Astyanax mexicanus: one gene and its partners. The protein of the gene in region 1 interacts with the protein of each later gene in a pairwise test. Links are inferred from orthologs where the notes say so. Each region holds a gene or a part of one and is shown on either strand. Other genes may lie near its edges.

Region 1 (7,506 bases):
AGTGTGGTTTATCTCATCAGAACTCACTCCATGTTTTATGCTCTCATTGGCTGTAGCTAGTCACTGCGCTAACTTCCAGTCACAACATTTTGCATACTATCAAATTTAGAGTTATTGACTGGTCCAGATATCAAACCTGCTAGATATTTGTTGAGGGCTCACTTGGCAAGTTATGGAATGGCATCTATCAGCCTTTTGCCAACATAGCTAGTGCAGCCTGCGCTCTGAATTACTGTTCTCTATGATTTTTAAAAACTGTTTTAATGTTTACACTCACCAAGCACTTTTCCTTTGCTTAAAACAATCTCAGTTTATCATAGCCTGTATTCTGCAAGAAGTTGACAAGAAGTCTTTTCTTTTGAGATTCTGGTTCATGATGACATTAATTGATTACACTTTTTCTGCAAAAAAAGTATTTTCAAGCTACACATCTCCTCCTCTGTCATATCTCAAAGATATTCAACAAAGTTTAGGTCTTGTGACTGAAGAAACCTTTGGAAACCGGTTAAAACCGGTTTGATGGTGACATTTGCTTTGTGATATGGTGCATCATCATACAGGACGAAGCCTTTTTGTTGGGGGAAAATTGTGGCCATGAAGGGATGCACATGGTCAGCATCAATATTCAAATATTCTGTTACATTTGAGTGATAATGAATTGGTATTAATTAGCCTAAAGTATGCCAAGAAAATTTTCACTTCTTTATACCACATCCGTCAGCCTGGACTGTTAATATAAGGGAGGTCTTACGCCACCACCTGGCTGTTTTAGCAGAAATCAAGATTCATCAGACCTTGTCTTCAGTCTTCATGCCACAGTTTGCCAAGTCTTCAACTTTCCACAAGTCTGTGCCTATGGTAGCTTCAGCGTTCTTAATAGAAATGTATCTCAGTGTGGTCTTTTTCTGTTGTTGCCCATCATCTTCAGAATTCAACATGGTTAGCATTCTATGAAATGCTTCTCTGCTCCCCAGAATAATTACCTTAGTTACTATAACCTTTCTGATACTCATTTTAAAACAGGACACTTTTTTGCCATAGCTGGGAGGAGTGAAATATCTTTAAATGTGGCCTGATTGTCACGTTGTGTAGTCTTGGATTTAGAGACCAAAGGCCAGCATGCACCTGCTTGGACCCAGTGACCCTTGGAAGCCATGCTCAACACTTTTCTGAAATCCCAGCCAAGCTGCATAGTTCAGTGCCTCAGTGCACTGTGCTCAGAGCTGGCATGAGATCAAGGGAGAAGGGTCCTGCCATCCAGGATTCATGGGGAAAAATAACCTATTATAGATGCATGGCATGACTGTGCTTTAGTCAACAGTCTTTCTTACACTGGCAGATGTTTTTGCTTGATCAGCCAAAGAGGGAATGAGAGAACAAGGGAACAAAAAAATCCCAAATTGACTGAAGTTCCCGCAGCTAGGTTTTCAGAGTCGATAAAGACATTGCGTTGCTGGAGCCTTGCTGGAGATAACTGTGTTGTGCCTTTTTAAATGGAAAACGAGCAACAAGCAACTTCTTAGATTTGGTTAGCAACTGGCACAGACCAAGCAGTACCTCTGTCAAGTTTACAATGCACTTGTCATCACTGTAGAGAGGAAGAGACAAGCAATTTAGTGTGGAGGCTTCAGAGTCCTGACATCCCGATTAAAGCTAGGACGAAAGCTGAGGTTTGACCCCATGTTGCCAAATTACTGAGTTCTGAGGCTTGGCAGACCAAATAACACTTAATGTGTGGAAAAAGCTTGGATTGAAAGAATCCCCTATAACAGTGTTTCTCTGTCATTTCTCTGTGTATTTCTCTGCCAGGCCATGACTAAAAACATTCACCTACAAGGAGCCCAGGGTTAGAAACAGAAAACCTTCATTCCAATGCTAGGATGCAGTCAAGGTAGACTGGGTTCTTGGTAAAACTGTAGCCTGTTGGTCACACAAGCTTCTTCTTGATGCCACTCGTGAACATCAGATAACCGTGTGGTGCAAAATCGTGTTCTTTTTTATTTTTTATTCCTTCAAAATGAACTCTTCTCCGAAGGCTTCATTATCTTTTAATTTTGCACACTTTGGTAACCAAAAGCCGCAAAGAACGCATCAGTTGCATTCTTCAAATCTTTCCGAACAATGAAGGGTCCCTCAGTTTGGAGCAGTCATCAGTAAGGTAGCGGCTAAGAGGTGCAGCCTAACTCAGCTGCAGCCTAGGCATTTTGTAACGCAGCTAAAATCTCTCGCAAACAGTTTCTTGCAAATGAATGTCTGATGAGTATCAAATGTTCATGTGGCAAGATCTGTAAGGGGAGAAGAGAAAGGTCTGAAGATTCATCAGTCTTGGACAAAAACCAAGGGGTGAAATGTGGTGTCACTTTGTGCAGTGGAAGAATAGTGCTTGCCCTATTCCTTTAAGGATGACTTACCAGTCATCAATGAGTAAGTGTTTGGAGGCATATGGTCTTAACAGAGCTGTAGAAGCAGAGAGGATGCACTTTCATGGCATTCATCCAGTGTCAAAGTCCCTGATGGTGTTAGCCATTCAACCCAGTCAAGGGACCAGTCCTGTTTTCCCATTTCAGGTGTAGCAATCTCTGAGAAAACTGTGAAACACTTGCAATGAATTGAAATTCATCATAGAGGAGATCACGGTTTTGAAAGCAAAGAAGGTGCTGCAACAGAGATTTAGACTAACCTAACGTCCCAGGTGTAGGAACTACTGACCAGTAGGATGTGTTGGGCAGAGGTAATGTTGGAGTTGGCAGCTATGCCATGAGAAAGATCTGGACCTTTTCAGTTCCTCCTGTAATAGTACCTGGACAAAGATGCCTGTCAACTAAGAGGGATACAACAAAACAATGGGATGAGCCAGCAAGCATGACCAAAAATTGCGTGTCTTGAATTATTACTTTCAGATCGTTCCAGGTGAAGAGAGAAAATCCACGGAAGGTTGTGACTAGCAGCAACAAGCTTCAAAGGAGTTGCCGAAGGTTCCAAAGGATTGCCATATTTAGCAACTGCTGATACCACCACACACCACATGTTGTACTACATTCACAGTCTAAATGTTTGTGTCCATACTGCTGCACAACATGCTTGCATGCCAAGGGGAGTTGGATTTCAGCAGAACATCAATTGTTTTTTCCTCTGGTTTCTTTAAAGTTTGTCTCAATCAACTAGAAAAGTGCTTTGATCAGACCAAACTCTGGTGCTTTGGTCCAAAGCCTTCTACCTTAGTTTGGACCAAATTGAAAAGTCTGAAAGTCCAGACCAGGTGTGAAAGCACTTTTAAAGTGACATGCTCCAAGGCGACGTCTTTTCCAGGGTTGTCCATGCATTTTTAACCAGATAATGCAAGACCACATGCTGCACAGATTACAAAGGCACAGGTACTGGACAAGACTAACTGCAGTCCTGACCTATCCCTTATTGCAACCATGATGACCCTGTACTGCTGCAGACCGTAAGACATGTTTGCTGGAAAACTGGGACAAATTACCACTTGAAACACTCCATTACCTTGTATCCTTGGTGCTAAAATACATTGTAAGCGTTGTGAGAAGGAATGGCTACATTAGAAACTTTATTGGGTTCATACAGTCTGCAATTAAACCAAAGTCAAAGTATGTAAAATAAACACCTTTTTTGGAACTTTACATCTTCACACCATTCCAACTTTGTTTCTGATTTGGGATTGTAGAAATTCAATTTAAAGTCATGTCTTACAGTGAATGTGGAATTTTAACAGCACTTTCTTCTGCATGATGTTTCCAGATTAGCACAATGAAGAGAGCCGACTCAGACTCGCTGCCGGCCAGTCTGTCACACACTCTTTTTAATCAACACATTACGTAATCGCACCACTGGTCCGTGACATCATTAAACTTCCACAGAGAAAAGACCCAGACAGAAGTAAGAGACCATCGGTGACTCAGATGCAGCCAAAAGTGAGTGTAACTTTGGTGCGGGGTGAGACGTACTTAAACACTCAGAGAAAAGAGTTTTCCTTGTTCACCCATATATCTCTCACTCTCTCTTTCTCTCTGTGGTGCAATCAAGGAGCTCACCAGCAGGAGGTAAAAAGAGACAAATACAATTGACATTCTCTTTCTCTCCCTCCCGGCCTCCCTCCCTCCCTCCCTCTCTCTTTTTTGCTCTCCATCAGAGATGAATAGATTTTCTGTGACTGAATGTAGCCCCCAGTTCACCACACACACCCCGGAGACTGAGAAAGAGAGAAAAGGAACAGGTCAGGAGACGCCACAAACAATACACACACACCCTGTCCACCCCTCACACCCCTCCTTTTCACTCTCTCCCTCTATGCCCTCTCTCTACCCCTTCCTCCACCTCCTCCATCCCTCCCACTGGACCCTCTCACTCAGTCCCTCACTCCCTCGCTCTCCCTCACCCTCTCCCTCACACTCTCTCTCAATATAAAAGCCTTCTTTCCCTGGTGTTCAACCCCATTTGCCCCAACATGGAGAGCCAGCGTGTTCTCTCTTCTTACCGCAAGCGCTTCGGGCCTCAGGGCTCCACCGGGTCCCCTGCCCTGTCCAGCCGCCTAAGCACTGGCCGCCTGTCCCTCCACAGCACCCCTCGCCACCTGACCCTGTCCAGCCCGGGAGCCCTGTCCACCTCCCGGCTGTCCCTCGGTGGCGAGCGGCTGGACTTCTCGGCCGATTCTCTGCTGAAGGCACAGTACCGGGAGACTCGCACCAACGAGAAGGTGGAGATGATGGGGCTGAACGACCGCTTTGCCAGCTACATTGAGAAGGTGCGCTTCCTGGAGCAGCAGAATAAGATGCTGGTGGCCGAGCTGAACCAGCTGCGGGGAAAAGAGCCCAGCCGCCTGGGGGACATCTACCAGGAGGAGCTGAGGGAGCTGCGGAGGCAGGTGGACGGCCTCAATGCAGGGAAGGCCAGGCTGGAGATTGAGAGGGACAACCTGGCGGCTGATCTGGTCACACTCAAACAGAGGTAGGATGAGCTTAGTCGACTGTATAGTTAATTAGTTGAAGGCCAATTGTAGTCCTGGAGGACCTTTAGCTTTAGCAGTGCTCTAGTTTTCCCTGTTCTGACAGGCTCACTTCAACAAGTAAGGGCTTACTATTAAATTAATTACCTAATTTAGAAAAAGAACATCCGACAAACATGTAACAATTGGTAAGAGAGGAATAAAATGGGGGAAGAACACAGAAATAGAGTTGAATTTGTACTTTGATTTTGTTTTATTTCAATATTTGAATTAATATCAGGTTCTTAACCCAGGGGTTGCGACCCACAAGCAGGTCCTGACATAGTCCTTAGGGGGTTGAAGGGGGTCACAGAGAGAAAAAGGTTAAGAACCCCTGTTTTATACTATATAAACAGTGGCCTCGGAAACTTTTTGGAAAGAAAATTTTGTTAGGAAAGAAAATTGTGTTTTATTACTGTTTGTTTGGAAGACACATTTTTTTTCAAAATGAAGTTTTTGAGGGTTTACCTGCATCCAAAATACATTTGTATGCTTCAGAGTTCATACAAGCAGTATACACAAGCTTATTGGACAGACAAATGGTTAAAGTGTCCAAACACCTTAGAGTCCAAATGTTGCTACATATCTTCTTGTTTGTCCTAAACTTTAGTCTGTACAAGTTTGCTTCAAGCTAAACTTACGGTGCATTTCTGTGCGCTCAGTCATGGCTCTAATCCAAGCCAATACTCAAAAAACCAGGGGAGCTTTAAGGGTGGCAGATGGATGGATTGTAAAGGAATTCTCTGAGGTCAGCAGGGATGCCAAAGAAATGCGACTATTCAAATGGAGCTCTTTGAATTGTGCCTGAAAGTTGCCACAGCAACGGGTGGGCTGAGAGGCAACCATATATAGGCTGGGCATTATTTCAGCTATAAATTCTGATACTCTGATTGAGTGCATGCGGATTTATAGCTTCGTAATGGCAGAATTCTTGCAAGGATTTTCATCCATCCACCCATCCATCCAGGCATCCATTAATTTATTCATTCATTCATATTCACTTGCCTTTCTTTTCCAGCATGAGTTTCTTCTTCTTTATCCCTCCTCTTTCCAGAGGCGGGAAAAGTGGGGGCAGGGAAGGACACAATAGTTCCTCTGCTAAACCCTTAAAAGTGCTGTGCAGATGTCTTTTTGTCCTGGAAAAAAACATTTTTTAACCAAATGTCTCCTAAACAATTAGCTGCTGACTCACAGTAGGCGTGTTAGCATTAGCCATGCCCCAACCACCACCAGAAACCTGTTTTCTCTCAAACCAGACAGAAGTTATCTGAACCTTCCTCCTTTTTTAGAGCTATAAGGCTAATGTAGCTAACAACCTGACCAGGTTTATACGTCACATTTAGCGCTGTTGTTGTTAAGCCTTAATTACCAATCCCTGCCAGACCAGGGAATAGAACTGGCAACATACTGGTCCCAAGCCCATAACTCTTACTTTTAGACCATGCCTGCTTATTTTAGTGAATTTGTGAATTATTCAAATTACTGTTCTAATGCGTTTTCCAAAAAAGTTGCATATAAGGTTAAAAGAGGCTACTTACTATTCGTAAAAAAATGTGTATCACTTTAAATGGAGCTGTCTGATTACAAATAAAAAACTAAAGTTGTTATGTAAATCAAAAAAAAAAAATCAAAATTTTGATCGAGAATTGTCCATTTATATATGCAGCTATGGAAAAAAAATAAAAAGACTACTTAAAAATCATGATTTTACCAAATTAAAAACCTCTGGAATATAATCAAGGGGAACATGGATGATCACAAGCCATCAAACCAAGCTGAACTGATTGAATTTGCACACCAGGAGTGGCACTATCCAAAAGCAGTGTGTAAGACTGGTGGAGGAGAAAAGGCCAAGATGCATAAAAACTGGGATTAAAAACCAGGGTTATTCCACCAAATATTGATTTCTGAACTCTTAAAACTTTATGAATATGAATAAGTTGTCTTTGCATCTGAAAGCTCTGCATCTTTTTTGTTATTTCAGCCCATTCTCATTTTCTGTCAAAAATATATATATATATTTTTTTACAATTTGACTAAAGAAATTTGAACACGTTCTGTTTCTACTTGTATTAAATGTGGATGAGATCTTTCTCTGACCATATCCTTATGATTTTAACCTATTGTTGGACTTTGCTGTAATATGGATTAACTTGAGCAGCCGTTGTAATTCAATGTATGACTTTTAAACGTGAATTAGTAGAGTCTAATGTAGGGGTACACTGAAACTTTGGATTCATTAGGATTGTTCTGAGGTAAATATATGACTAAAATTGCACTGCTGAGGTAAATGTACTGTGCTTTATTGGTTTGCCTGCTGGTATACTAAAAATGTTTGCCAACTTTAAAAAAAAAGACAGTAGTAAATGTAATAGGAACCTGCCAAAAAGCATATTCAGTATTTGGCTTTGGAAAAATGTTTCCTTTTGTTTGGTTTAGATTTCGGCCAAAAATCTTAATTTTAGTTCCTAGTTTAATGGTTAGTATTGTGCTATTCATTTATT
Region 2 (7,391 bases), on another chromosome or scaffold:
TAGTGCAAAATTAAAAAGCAAACACTATCGTGGAAAAACTACAATCTGCAAAATGCATTCTGTATAACATACAGAATAAATGCCAAACTGAAATGTAAAACCACTATTTCATTACACTTCACTGCATCTGATCTTTATTAAAAAATCTGTTCTTAAAACAATACACAAGAATTTACATTTTCAAAACCAAATGCTGAATTGTTTTAGAATTGCACACAAAACTTTTACAATGCTCAACTGCATGTTATTCCACTGTGTGGCGCTGTGACTGTTCGTAAGAAAATCACAATGCACAGGATTGCATTTCGTCTAGGAGCAGCGCAGAATCTGTGCCTAAATGAAATGTAATCGCTGTCCAATCAGAAACCACTACTAAACTTGGGCGCTCACTCTGGACCAATTCTACCAAAGCCCTGGAGAAAGCACACACAGGTTTGGAAAAAACCCAGTGTAAAAAAATGCCCCAAGTTTGAAAACTGAGCCTGTGTTAAAATCTACTAAACTTTGAACACAGTTCTTTCTCATTAGCATTTTATGGTTATAAGCACAAGGGTTCACATAATTTTTCCACAAACACTATAACATGTTTATGGATGTTCTTAATAAAGAAATAAATGTTTATATGTTTTGAGGCACATTATATTTCTTAATACTCTTGACTGAGATCAAGGTAAGATCACATTTTATGACAAATTTATGCAAAAAAAACATGAAATTCCAAAGAGTTCGCAAAGTTTTTTTTTGCCAATGTACTTACAGAGAACACATTTCTGCATATTCCATTTACAACCCCTGTTTTTTTTACATTTCTGGGAAAAATAAAGTAAGCATAAAAAAGTGGTGAAAATTTCTGTATTTTTTTCAATATTTTAAATTCAGTGATAGATTTATTGAATAATTGCGTTGTATGGTCAGCCCTTCATAAGTTGCAGTAGTAAAAAAAAAAAAAAGACAAATAATGTATTACTTGGTGATAAGTATGTACTAGATAGACTAGATAGTTGAATGTCCTTTAGGTACTTTATTATTATTAATAATAATATAATACCGTATACTGGCCATGGTCCTGCTAATGCTGGTTGAGTTCTAGGCATATTTTGGTCGTTCATTAGAACTGGCTCATCAATACTTGGCATTATGTGTCAAGTGGGCCAAATGAAATAAGTTAATGTGGGTCAGATTTAGCACAGGTTGGTTTTCCAGGTCTTACTTCTAAAAAAAGTAGGAAGTTATGTTCTGAGTTGAGGAGAAAATCACTGGCTCCCTATAGTGGACACTGAGAGACGATGCAGTCCTTACACAACAGCCACGGCTGGCTTTCCTGAAAATATGATTTAACATAATGTGGAGCCTCCACAATAATAATAATAATAATAATAATAATAATAATAATAATTCTATATTTTAATAGATTAAGACCTTTTGGCCTCAGGGTCTCAGGCTCAGCAGTATAAATCCTCTAGCCCACACTAGAGGAGTTCATGAGTGAATAAATCCCTTTAATATTACTTGGATTTCTGCATAAATTGGTCATTAAATGTGTTTAATGTGTTTAATATCAGAAATGAGCAGCGTATTAAAGTAAGTTTCATCAATATTAAGTTAAATTAAAGGTTACAAATCTAGAAAAGATATTAAATAATAAATTAAGCACTTAGTATCATTTATACCTTTCAGTTCTTTGGAATAAAGGTGTTCAGCAGTCTCTTCAAGGTTACTGCAGCATATTCAGCTGCTGCTCAATAATTAAAGGGTATTGAAAAGACAGCCCACTCAGGCATGTTATTGCTTTAGTGAGTGCGGTGTGTGTGTGTGTGTGTGTGTAAAGCACCTCTCTGAGCTGCTAAGGATAAGAATTTGTGGATCACTCTGTTCAATTGATTCTGAAATGTGAAGTTTCAATTATTTGAGACTGAAAATGTATTATGATGTCAGTAAGTCTCTCACTGAGGGCAACGCTGTATTTAAAGGTTAGACAGTATTAAACAGTATTGAAGTGTGTTGAGTGTTGGTGAATGCAGATTAATATACACTGAACAAAAATATAAATGTAACATTTTGGTTGAACTCAAATATCTACTTTTCCTCTGTACACAAAATACGCTGTAATTTTGCTCATAATTGGGTCTAAATCTGTGTTATAAGTGAGCACTTCTCTCACTTTTGCTGAGATAAACCATCCACCAATCACAGGTGTGGCATATTAAGATGCACAGTGATTATTACACCTGTGTAATAATCCCTGTGTCTAATCAGCATCTTGATATGCCACACCTGTGACTGGAGGATGGTTTATCTCAGCAAAGAAGACACAGATTTAGACCCAATTGTGGTCACAATTTGAGAAAATAAAGGTCTTTTGTGCACAGAGGAAAAGTCTTAGATCCTTTGAGTTTAGCTTATGAAAAATGGGAGCAAAAGCAAAAGTGTTTATATTTTTGTTTAGTGTATTTGAAAAAAAAAGGCAGGTTTATTCAGTATTTTCAGTTTATGTTTTTCTGCTGTAGAGATGCATAAAAAAACCCAGTCAACACTCTGGTTTAGTTGTAAATAAATTGTTTTATTCCAGAACCAAAACTTGTGTCTCAATGTTCTCAAGCTTGCCTTGGAGAGAGAGGGTTTCCTGACTTGTGTCATCGTCTTCTCTCCCTAGTTGTGGAGCTAAGAAAAAATATTTACCCCTTTACTTTTTTATTATGTTTTTGCTTTTTTACTATACTTACATTAATACGATTATCAAACAAATTTAATATCAGAGAAATAAACCTGAGTAAACACAGAAAAGATGTTTTTAAATTATGAAATACACCTTAAAACAAGATCCCAGTCTGCTTCTCTTGCAGCAAAAAAAACAGTTCAATCTTTACTGCTTTCTTATTTTTTTGCTTTTTTCATACTTACATTATTCCGATTATCAATCAAATTTAATATCAGAGAAATAAACCTGAGTAAATATAAAAAAGCTGTTTTTAAATGATGAAATGCACCTTAGAACAAGATCCCAGTCTGCTCCTCTTTCAGCCCAAAGACCAGTTCAATCTTTACTGCTTTCTTCTTGTTTTTGCTTTTTTTTTTTATCATACTTACATTATTCCGATTATCAAACAAACTTTAATATCAGAGAAGTATAACCTGAGTAAATACAAAACAGCTGTTTTTAAATGATGAAATGCACCTTAGAACAAGATCCCAGTCTGCGTCTCTTTCAGCACAAAGACCAGTCGAAAACTTTGCCTTCAGATCCACATTGAGCAGTTTGTGGTCTGTGTTTACTCTGCAAAAGAAAGACTGTAGACACATAGTGTTAAATCTCATCCTTGAATGTTGGAACATTATTCCCACCGAGAGAAACGTTAGCTGAGCTGTTCTCAGCATGATATCAGGATTAAACCACAGCTTGTCTGCTAATTTAAGGATCTGTGGGTTTGAGAGGACCAAAAGATCAAAAGCATGATGTTTAAAAGGTTCAGCCTGAAGGTTCAGCACAGCATTCTGCTTCTGTTCTGGCCAATTAGTTCTTCATACTTTGTGTTAAAAAATAAAAAGCTTGATATGAAATATGATAGGTATTTGTGAGCAGAGAATTAATTAAATAAATCAACTATCCAACAATAAAAATGCCTCTGTTATCTTAAAAGAGAATGTAAAAAATCTGAAATGTAAAAAGAGAATAATAAGATTTTATTAATTCTAACTGGTTTAAAATAAAATTTATTTAAACGCAAAATTTGAATGTTAAATTGTGTGTATTTGAGCAGGATAAACTGTTTTTAATTCTGTTGATTTGTGAAGAAACATGTAATCCTGTAATGTAATACACATGAAAATTCTGCAGCCCAAATTATTCTGCTGAAAAGTGCCTTTGTTTTTCAGATGAATAAGTGAAAAGACTGAATAATTTATAACAAACACCAGCGTTTTTGATGACGCAAATAAATTGCTATTTTTCTGAGCTGGATTACTCGTTGATACTTGATGACAGGTCAATGGCAGACATTTTTTGTTTCTCACTTCAGTTCAGAACATTTAAAGCACTTGAATAGTTCATTTAAATGAACAGAATTAGAAATAGTACCGTGTCACTTCTGCCCTCAGCCTCCATAGACTCTCATCCTAACTCAAATCCTTCCTAAAGTTTATGATTGCTGCAGTTTACAGGGTTGATCAGGATTATTCACAGCAACAGTGGGAAGAGGCGTTCAGCCACGAGATGTGGTTAAATAACTCACTCTTTAAGTAAACCTTTGGCCTGTCAAAGTCCGGTACAGACTTACACACAGATAGATAGATAACATCTGTAAGAAGAGGCAAGAACCTCCTTTCAGTACGGACTTCCACAGGACCTGAACAGGTGAGTAGCATCTACCTGACCTGCAGAGAATTATTAGAATCTATAACTGTGATACCTTCAAAAGTGCATCAGTTTGTTATTTCAGTTTTTAATTTTCAATCTCGATATCATTATCATGCTCTATTTGTTCTAATTGCTGACTTTAAATTTTAGTATGCTGTGAATAATTCCCCCCTTTTATATTATTGTCCTGATCATATTAAGCTCCAAAAAATACATATAGTTTATACACAGTCAAAGCTGGTATCTGTAGAATTGCTGTAATTAATGAAAGCTGCATCTAGCAATCAGGCAAATATGTTCAGAGGTCAGTATCAAATAATTTTTTTGTATTGGATTTTTATTAATTAGAAAACAAATCGAATTATAGGCTCTATAATCATAAATTGCTATGATTATAGAATACATCACCATGCAATCTGAAAATATCATAACTGATCGAGAGCTATAGTAACGTTGGTTAGTTATGGGTGAGGTATTACGTAATCTCTGATGGATTTTAAAATGATGATAATGCATAGGGCATATCATTAGTGTTAAATGAAAAACAAGTATCTCCATTTTTGTTGATTTTTAGGTTATACAGAATTTGAAAACCGAACTTTTCCTTAAAATGCATCAATTTTTTGATAAAGATCCTGAAAGAAATTCTGCAACATTACCTGAAATAAACTTTTTTTTTTATTTCCATTGAAAGTTAAGGTTTTGGGATCTCTCTTTCCCTTAAAGTTGCTTTTTTGGAAATGCATGTTTTTTTATTGGACAGCATTGATATGTCCAGTGCTAAATTCATATTTCTTGTATTATAGCTTAGTGTAATAAACTATATTAAATATTTTGTCATTCTTCAAGAAAACAATGTATTTTGATCGAAGTATTCTGAAAATGTAAAATTTTTGTGACAGTTATAATATAAAAATCTAGATGACATTTCACACATGCCTCTTCTCTCTTTCTTCACGCTTGGTAAAAATGGCTATTGACATTTTTTTTATTGCGGAGGCAAAGTGCATTCGCTCCAGCAAAGAACGCACTTTACCATCGCACCTCCAGTTTAACAATTAACGATCCGAGAGCAAGAGTACATTCTGTGAATGTCAGCATATTATCTTCTTATTAAACCTGCATGTCTTCAGTCTGGATAGGGATTTTATGGCTCTGGATAATTGCTATGATTTGCACATCTCAAATTACTCACAGTTATCTCTGTACAGCCTCAGGAAGAGATTCATCAAAAATTATATTTAACTGTATATCACTGTATATACGTTACGTATACAAGCCTGTCTGGTCCACCTGTCCATGTTTTTACTGTAATTGCTATAAATTGTACTATCAGTAATGTGGGCCTAATTTAGTACGATATTCCACTGATTTTAGTGGTTGTAAAGTGACTGGTTGAGTAATTTATGGATATTATAATAATGTCACATAATCCAAAGTACATTTAAAGTACATTTAATCTTTAGTGACTTTGGTTGGAGAATAAATATATTATCTATATTTCTTTGCAGTTTTATTTCTCTGCATTAAGTCTAGGTGTTTTTCTTTATTTCCCTTTATTTAATACAGTCAGGTTATAAGTTATGGGAGGGTTATAAGAATGTAAGCATTCTTTTAAAGTATAAAAAAATTAAACCTTAAATTATATGCTGCACCTTGACAGTATCTTTTCTTAGGATTTTTATTTGTATGTTTTTGGACATTGCATGAATGCATAATTATAATATATAAAGATACAAATTAATAATAATAAAATAATGAAGTCCATTCTTTCATTATTGTGAATGTTTATTTATGAATCTATACTTTTCCGCAGTGTTACGTTAAAGAGATTTAAATGGTGATGTAAGAACACCATTCACCACACCCCGCTGATAAACTTACACTTTTATAGCAGCTTGTGTTGTAAAACAATTTGGCAGGTATGGAATGATAATGCTGGTTATCATTAAGATTAGATATAAACTGTAAAAGGGCACCGAAAAGGTGTGCAATCACTTGCTGGAGGACTTAAAGGGAAGGTCTGGCACTTTTTTTTATAGTTTTTACACTTTTTCATGTAATTATTTATATAAAGGTAAAATCAGTTAGATATCTGTGTGAAAAATCATGTGAAATTAAAATTGTGAATTACGAGAAAAAATACTTTGAAAGATAATTTGAATTATTTACAGTGATGGTCAGAAAAAAAACATTCTCTAAAAAGCTGTTAATGAATCTAATTAATGCCCAAAAAAACTATTTTACACTAGTTGGATTTATTAATAGCTTTTTAGAGAATGTCTTTTTTTCTCATGACCATCACTGTAAACAATTCAAATTAGACAAAAATGGTTACAGAAATGTTGTGAAAAAAAAAACAAAAACAAAACAGAGACATTGTTTTAGAACAGTTTTAAAACTTTTGGCCTTTTTAGCAATTTTTCTTAGCAATTTTTAATAGGCATACATGTTAATTTTATTAACATGAAATTTACGGTATAAATATATAATAAATAAAAATAAAAAAAAGAAGTGCAGGTGTACTGGTGACAATTAAAAAGGTAATTTTTGTGTTTTAGGGCTCACAACCCCTGGTTCTTTTCACCACCATCTAAAAGACGTCTGACTCAGTAAGTTTCTCCAGTATTGTCTAAATCATCTAGTTATGCAGATTTTTTTTTACATTTTATATTTTTAACATAATTTTTTTCCCACCAATTTATCAGAATTATTAGTTAAATTTAGTTTAATTTCTATTTTAACTATATACTTTTTCTCCATTAGGAAACATGTCTGTGCCCAAACCTCGAGTGATCTCTCTCAATAAGCGTGAGGGTCAAAGCTATGGCTTCTTCCTGAGGATTGAACAGGGTGAGGATGGTCATCTGATCCGGGCCCTGGAGATGGGTGGTCCTGCAGAGCTGGCAGGGCTGAAGGATGGAGATCGCATCGTCAGAGTCAACGGCACTTATGTTGACAACCTGGAACACAGCCAGGTATAAAGTTAATATCAAACTATAAACAAGCTTTTAAATTGGAGTAGTTTTATATTAAC
Region 3 (7,404 bases), on another chromosome or scaffold:
ATATTATATAATTTGTATGACTATTTACTATTATATTTAGCAACTATACTGTTATTCTGCGTTATAATTATTATTGTTATTATTATTTTTATTATTATTATAGGCACTTTCTTCGCCTCACTTCTTGTTTTGTACTGTAAAGATGTCAGTAATTTTGCGCTTCCACTATTTGTGTGTGTGTGTGTGTGTGTGTGCGTGATTTAACCATAAATACATTCTAATTTGATCCTAAAGGTACTCGTGACTCACCCTCCTGTCCTCGGCTTGCTGCTTCTGGTAGTTGCTGTAGTGCAGTAGCTGCTGGGGGGTCATGCCCTTATAGCAGTCCCTGCGCAGTCTGGGACGTCCAGGCACTCGGCTGCTCTGCTCGATGCTCTCGTTCAGCAGTTCCCCCTGCAGCTGGTTCAGGATCTCCACCTGGTTGTTCTCCTCTTCCTCTCGGCGTTGCCTCTCTCTCTGTTCAGATCTTTCGGCAGCCTGTAGATAATGACCGACTGAATGATTTTAGGGCTTATACTTAAATGCGTATACTGACAATTACAGTAGCAATGATTTAGAACTTTCTGTAAACTTGGCTTCTTACTTAAAGTTACAACACTGGACTCACCAGAGCTAGATTGAAGTTCTTGATGGCGATGGTATTGGCTCTCTTGTGCTCTTCCTCCATCTTTTGCAGCTCGACAGCTCTGCTGTCCAGAGCTACTCGGCTTTGGTCATACTGTAGATCTGTTGAAGACGGCAGATGATCAGCGTTATTTTGTTTTTTATATAAATTAATTTACATTGTTTTCCATTTTCTCCCAATTTAGCTAGGCCAATTATGCTACCCATTTAGCTTCTACTCAGTTCTACTCATCCCTCTGACACATTTTTAGTCAGCCACCGCCTCTTTTTTAACTGAACTGCCGAGTAGCATCACAGAGTGCTTAGAAAAAAAGCGCAGCGACTCTATTATGACACATCAGCTCACAGATGCCTTGTGCTGACTGATATCACCCCAAGAGTGATGAGGGGAAATAGAGCCATCTACACACCCAAACAGTGCAAGGTCAATTGTGCTCTCTCAGGGCTCTGGCAGCTGATGGCAAGCTGCATGAACAGGATTCGAACCTGTGATCTCACGATCATAGAGTCAGCGCTTTAGACCACTGGGCCACAAATACAGATAACTGTATTTTGTGCTAAAGTGCCCCTAGCACAGTTCAACATGGTGTAGCTCTACCTTCTTGTTTCTGCTGCTCTTCTGTCTGCTCCAGCTCTTGCTGCTGCTGGATGGACCAGTCCCTCAGCTGCTCTCTCTGCCGCTGTGCTCTGTCTCTGCTGGCTAGATCCTCCCCAGCCAACCCAGGCAAAATGCGCACACCGTCCTGCTTCTTCAGGAACTCAGAGTCGTTCAGGTCGAACTCCCGTCTGCTGCTGGGATGCTGGAAACGACTCCGGAACTGCACAATGGCCTCTTCCAGCAGACGTTCATCTTTCTTCTGCCTGTGCTCCAGTACGCATGCTGTCTGGTCACTGCGTATGAGCTTATCCACTTTTGGGACAAAGAAAGATAAAACAGAAAGATCAGACAAAGGTTTGCATTTTTTTGCTAATGAATCAATTGTTTGTCTGTTCTAACATCTATTATTAAATACATTACCACACAAAACATGTGTGGACATCTCTTCTAATGTATGCATTCACGTACATTTTTATAGATGACTTGCTGACACAGATAAAAATGAACTTTAACCTGTCAGGTGTGGGCTAAAGGGGTATAAAGCCCTGAAAAATTGAGCTATTAAGCAGTGAAACTCTCTTTTATTTTTTATATTTTTTACCACCCTTAATTCCAGAAAAAAACATCTATGAATGAGCAGCTGTGCCAATACTTTCATGATCAGATATAGTATAAGATATGACACAAGAGTATTTTGTGTGGTTTCTTTATTTTTGGTTTATTTTGGTCTACAATAATATATTTATATAAAATAAAATAATAACGACACATTCCTGTGAAGCTGAAAAAAGACAAATCAGAATAAAATGAATCTGCAGTATTTTTAAATAAACAAGTAATAATTATTACATAAAATAAAGTTAATTAAGCAAATCTTTAAAAGCTTTACCAAAATCTTACCATATTCCTTTAGCGCTCTTGCCTCAGCTTGTTCTTTATCCCTTCTTTCCTTCACTTGAAGTTCAAGAGCTTCCTTATCAACCTAGTGCAAGACAACAAAATTTTACATAAATGTTAAAGCTTATAAAATATTATTAGGTTTATCACTGGTTTTCTTATGATGACTCTTCCATGAAGGCCATATTTGTGAAGGTGTTGCGGAACAGTAGAACACATTACCTTTAACTCCAGAGTCTGCTAAATCTTACAGAAGGTCTTTTTCAGTCAAGAAGAGCTTCTGATTTGCCTTTCTAGCAATCCCAAGAGCGCCTGTTCCTGAAATTTCTTTTGGTCTTGTAAACTATATCTTAATCTCCATTGTTCCTGTTAACTGACACTTCTCAATGTTAACCTGAAAATGCTTAAAACTCGATATATTGTAAGACAATTCTCTATGATACTTTACGGAATACTTCTAAATACTTATACTCAGAACTTTACCTATGAAGTGTGGAGCTACTTTGAGTTTGAGTTTACTGGTTTTAGCTTCGGCTAAAAGCGCTGTTTTTCAGAATGCTGGGCTGAACAGAGGTGGGCTATTCGACAAAAGTGTGTACTCATTATCATGTTTCACTGCACCCCAAGTCCATTTTTACACCAGACTTCTCCTTTAACTACATGATAACTATATAAACACGATAATTACATTATCAACTTAACATGCAATAAATAGACATGATCTCATATATATTTCATAATTATCATCACATAACCGGGGAACTAAAGCTCAGACTTACTCCGATTGTTCGCAGTTTGGCGTTAAAAACCCGCTCTTTCCGCAGGAGTTCCCGGGTTTGTCTCTGGTCCAGGTGAGCGGCTGAGAGGCGGTCTGATGGGAGCTGGACGGGGTTCATGTCTGCGGGCGGCGGTTCAGCTCAGCTCCGCTATTCAGCTCCGTCCGTCCGCACAGCAGCAGCAGCAGCAGCACTGTAAACACTGCGTTACTAAGCAACCCAGATAAAAACCGCACGCGACCCCTGCCTTTCCTTATTTATATATACAGCTCTGTAACAAAATAAGAGACCACTTCCGTTTCTGAATCATTTTCTCTAATTTTGCTATTTATAGGTTTATGTTTGAGTAAAATGAATATTGTTGTTTTATTCTATAAACTACAGACAATATTTCTCCCAAATTCCAAATAAAAATATTGTCATGTAGAGCATTTATTTTCAGATAATGAGAAATGGCTGAAATAACAAAAAAAGATGCAGAGCTTTCAGACCTCAAATAATGCAGAGAAGTTTTAACAGTTCAAAAATCAATCAATATTTGTTGGAATAACCCTGGTTTTTAATCAGTTTTCATGCATCTTGGCATCATGTTCTCCTCCACCAGTCTTACACATTGCTTTCGGATAACTTTACGCTACTCCTGGTGCAAAAATTCAAGCAGTTTAGATTGATTTGATGGCTTGTGATCATCAATCCTTATATCCTCTTGATAATATTCCAGAGGTTTTCAATTGGGTAAAATAAAAAAAATCATCTTCAATTCATCTCTAAAAAGGAAAAAAAAAACATGTATTTGTATAATGTAAAGTAGTTATTGTAAAAATACAGTAAAAAAAATAGAGATAAATTATGGAATTTAGAAATATATAATGGTCTAATTTCATCACGTTTAAACATATATATACACCGTTTAGACCAGCATGAATGTTTCGTTAAAGTGGAGTGAAGGTCTAATTTACACTAGACTGAATAACTCTTTCTCTCTATTTTCCTTTTTCTGCTGACACTTATTTTTACTGCTCTGTGCTGTAGAAGATCCTGCAAACTAGAGATTCTCCACCGGGGGCGCCACTACTACTCAACTAGCTCTGTGTGATTATGAATCTTAATAAAACCATTAGATGGTATAACTGCTTTATCATATTATATGATAACGAGTTTATTAAATCGTAGCCATTAAGGCATGGCCAAAAGGTCATTTTGTTTCACAGCTAACAGAGCAAGCAGCTCTCAGGGGTTGTCAAAAGAATTCAACTAAATCAAAATCAGCTGTCAAAATTAACACTGATGCCACTGATTGTCTAGATAGAGTCTCTTACCTCCCAGGCGCTGACCCATCGTTCTGTTCATACCACTCTGGTCTGAAGGACTCGTACATACACCACAGCTGCCAGTCAAAAGCATGGGCAAACGTTTCATATTTAATCACATCCAGGGTGGCACATTCCACTCTATCAAACACTGGAGACAGCACCACGGTCCTGATTCTTGCCAAAAGTGGTTCTGCCCTAAAAGCACATTAGACCAAAAGTTAAATTCTGATTATAAAAATGTAACACAAGCAGCATAGCTGTTTTTGTTTCATTCAAAGTCAAAGTCAAAGTGTTTTTTATTGTCATTTCAGCTATATACAGAGTACACCAGGGACCATGGTGCACATAAACACAGTGTAGACAGAACAAAAAGTGCAACAGTACAAAAGTGCAGACAGACAATACAACACACAGACAAAGAATAATAAATATCAAGACAGTGTGCAAATTATGCAGTGTGCAAAAAAGACCAGTGAGGTAGTAATTACCTCTATTACGCAGTGTGCAATAGAGTCCAGTGAGGACTTTTAAAAACAGCTGTGAATACATTACCATAAACCACGCCCTAATAATTAAATTATTTATAATAAATTATTAATTATTAATTAATAAATAAATCCATCCATAAATCTATCCAGTTTCGACCACACGAGGATGGTTTCTTCTGTGGAGTCTTGGTTCCTCTCTAAATGATTTTTTTGCCAGTGTAATTTCTGGCTTGATCACTAGGGGGATCCATAGCCCATCTTTCTAAAGCTGCTTTATTGCACTTTATTGCAGATCTTCTTGAGAACAGATTTTCTGCAGGTTTTCACTCCAGCCCAAATCAAACCCAATTATTCAATCAAGGGATTTTAAAGACAGTCTTTATTTGGGTCAGAAGGGGTTGGATCTGAAGTGTGATGTGTGAAGGCAGCTCTTCAGGAGCAGGGATAGAGGGAACTGTTACAGAATCAAATCTCAACAAAAATAACTCTCTAAACATTTTAAGATGTTTTTTTTAAACCTTTATTTTTCCTTTTTTTCTTATATGTTCATTTCATTTGTACAATTTGATACTTGATTAACATAACATATGTAATTAGATTTCTAATAAATTATTAATTTGGAAAAGAAATGTTTAGTAAACTATACATTTAGTGCACTATTACAACTTACAGCAGACTATCGTTACCTGCCATCAAGTGAAAATGCCCAGCTAGCTCAAATATCATTTTCAAAAAGTTTAGAAAGAAATTCAGGGTGAATATACAGCACCAAAAAGTTCAAAAGTTTGGACACACCTTCTTATTCAATTTCAATATTAAATTTAAAATGGAAAACATTTTCATTCATAAAAAGAAAGAAAACACTTTGAATGAGAAGAGGTAAACATTCAAATAACACTTTATTCTTTCCACGCCCAACACTAAATACATTTTTTCCTCTAGGGAATTCAATTTCAATAAAACATAAGTAAACCCTTCAAAAATACCAATGTTCAGTAACTCAACACAGTTCTGTAAAACTGTTCACATGTACACAACAGTAAATCCCATTCTGTGCAAAAATAACAGCAATAATGGGAATATATTTTGCGATTATATTGTGCTATTAAACCATCAAAAATATCACTGATAAGTTAGACGAATAGGAGACATTTGAAAATTAGATTTTTTTTTTGGGCTCTTTTAAGATTGCTAAGCATTTTGTATCAAATGTTGTATTGTCCAGTGTTGTCCAGTGCAGTCCTGAATTATAAGATGGTAATATGAATCAGCTCCTTGGGCGATCTCAAGACACCTTTTTGTGTCTCTGTTTTTGATTGCCTGACCCTGTAGGTAAAGCAAAGAGAGATAATTAAATAGACATTGATTAAAATTCATTAATATTAAATCTTAGTACTTAAAACATCAAGTACACATATAAATACATAAATGAATCATTTTAAGATTTATGGATAATTTTCGAGGCAGTTTGGAAGGCTAATTACACAACCCTTTTTCCTATAAGCTCTCGCTCTCACTGGCAATGCCCCAACACATCTCTGGGTAGCCAAAATGCTACACACACATCACACTAGGGGTGAGAAAAGAAATGAACTCAAACTAAGCCCTGAGAGAGCTAGACTGATTGCACACTTTTAGATTCTTTTCTAATGGCAAGCAGCAAGATCCAGGATTCAAACCAGCGATCTCCTCAGATCATTGTGTCAAAGTCTTATAAGTACATTATGAAATTATTTGGAGAAAAATGAATAAAATGTATAGACTTTTTCGCACTATAAGGCGCCCTGTCAATAAACGTCTATTTTTTGGTCTATTTTCTTACACAAGGCACAATAGATTATAAGGCAATCAGGGATAATTATCAGGGATGTCCTGCTATGGGTGGCAAATATGTAACAGGGCTGGACTTTAAATCTAAATCCTGTTTGCTTTCTTCAACTTTCCTTGGCTTTAGGATGGCCCTTTAATATAAAAGTGCTCCATCTTTATTCCTGTTTCACTCAGCAGGTTAATGTTTGGCCACTTAACCAAATTCCACTAATTTACAAAGCTTCCTGTCATCAGTTAACCCGTTCAGCAGAGTACATACCTGTTTAAAGTCCCAGTGCATGTGTAACCCTTTCTCCTTGGCTATTTTGCAGTCATGCAGTCCCGGTGTGTGTCCTTCCCCAGGATCCACCAGACAACGATTATTATTGTACTTGTGGGATTTGATGCCTCCAATGTAAATCTCCCCTCTACGCCTGTAGTAACAGCTCTGTATAAAAAATGCATATATGAAATTCCGATTAATCAAGTAGTTAATAAAAAAACATGAGTTTAATCCTATGTGAAAAATTGGGGGACAAGTGGGAGAGTGTACCCTTGTGGTACAGGTATTTCTTCTTCTTATGACACAAATATTTGATGTCTTCAATAAGAGAAGGAAAATCCTTTTAACTTTCAGTGGAAAGTCAGTAAATGAAGATTTTTTAAGCATTTTTCTTGGTCTGTTGTATTGGAAAATTGGAAAACTGCCAGATTCACACTATGCCCAAACATAAAAATCTGAAAATTTGAAGTATCAAGGTTTTTGTGCAACAGGGACAATTTTCCATGTGAGAATACTTTGAAGTGGCAATAAAAAACTAAGTATTGATCAAATGCTGTAAAGTAAGCTGTCAGACAGTTTGACAAAGTCTGGAAGCCCATTCCAGCCAGATAAAAGA

What was found.
Region 2: the proteins of glial fibrillary acidic protein (region 1) and pdzk1 interact in binary tests that used the Homo sapiens proteins (3 or more experiments, as listed by UniProt). The link is inferred for Astyanax mexicanus from reciprocal best matches to the Homo sapiens genes GFAP and PDZK1.
Region 3: the proteins of glial fibrillary acidic protein (region 1) and ribc2 interact in a two-hybrid assay, tested with the Homo sapiens proteins (2 studies listed by BioGRID and IntAct). The two-hybrid records come from large-scale screens. The link is inferred for Astyanax mexicanus from reciprocal best matches to the Homo sapiens genes GFAP and RIBC2.

What each region holds. Positions count from the first base shown.
Region 1 is NC_064426.1:21,114,959-21,122,464, forward strand, and holds the start of glial fibrillary acidic protein, read left to right. Parts: upstream 1-4,377; 5' UTR 4,378-4,465; coding exon 4,466-4,965; intron 4,966-7,506.
Region 2 is NC_064418.1:9,927,856-9,935,246, forward strand, and holds the start of pdzk1 (Na(+)/H(+) exchange regulatory cofactor NHE-RF3), read left to right. Parts: upstream 1-4,290; 5' UTR 4,291-4,351; intron 4,352-6,915; 5' UTR 6,916-6,966; intron 6,967-7,120; 5' UTR 7,121-7,125; coding exon 7,126-7,332; intron 7,333-7,391. UniProt on the Homo sapiens protein: A scaffold protein that connects plasma membrane proteins and regulatory components, regulating their surface expression in epithelial cells apical domains.
Region 3 is NC_064417.1:4,634,605-4,642,008, reverse strand, and holds the start of ribc2 (RIB43A-like with coiled-coils protein 2), read right to left. Parts: upstream 3,102-7,404; 5' UTR 3,016-3,101; coding exon 2,899-3,015; intron 2,205-2,898; coding exon 2,123-2,204; intron 1,535-2,122; coding exon 1,223-1,534; intron 727-1,222; coding exon 608-726; intron 478-607; coding exon 250-477; intron 1-249. Other genes in the region: probable polypeptide N-acetylgalactosaminyltransferase 8, read right to left, coding at 5,888-6,022, 6,786-6,953. UniProt on the Homo sapiens protein: Microtubule inner protein (MIP) part of the dynein-decorated doublet microtubules (DMTs) in cilia axoneme, which is required for motile cilia beating.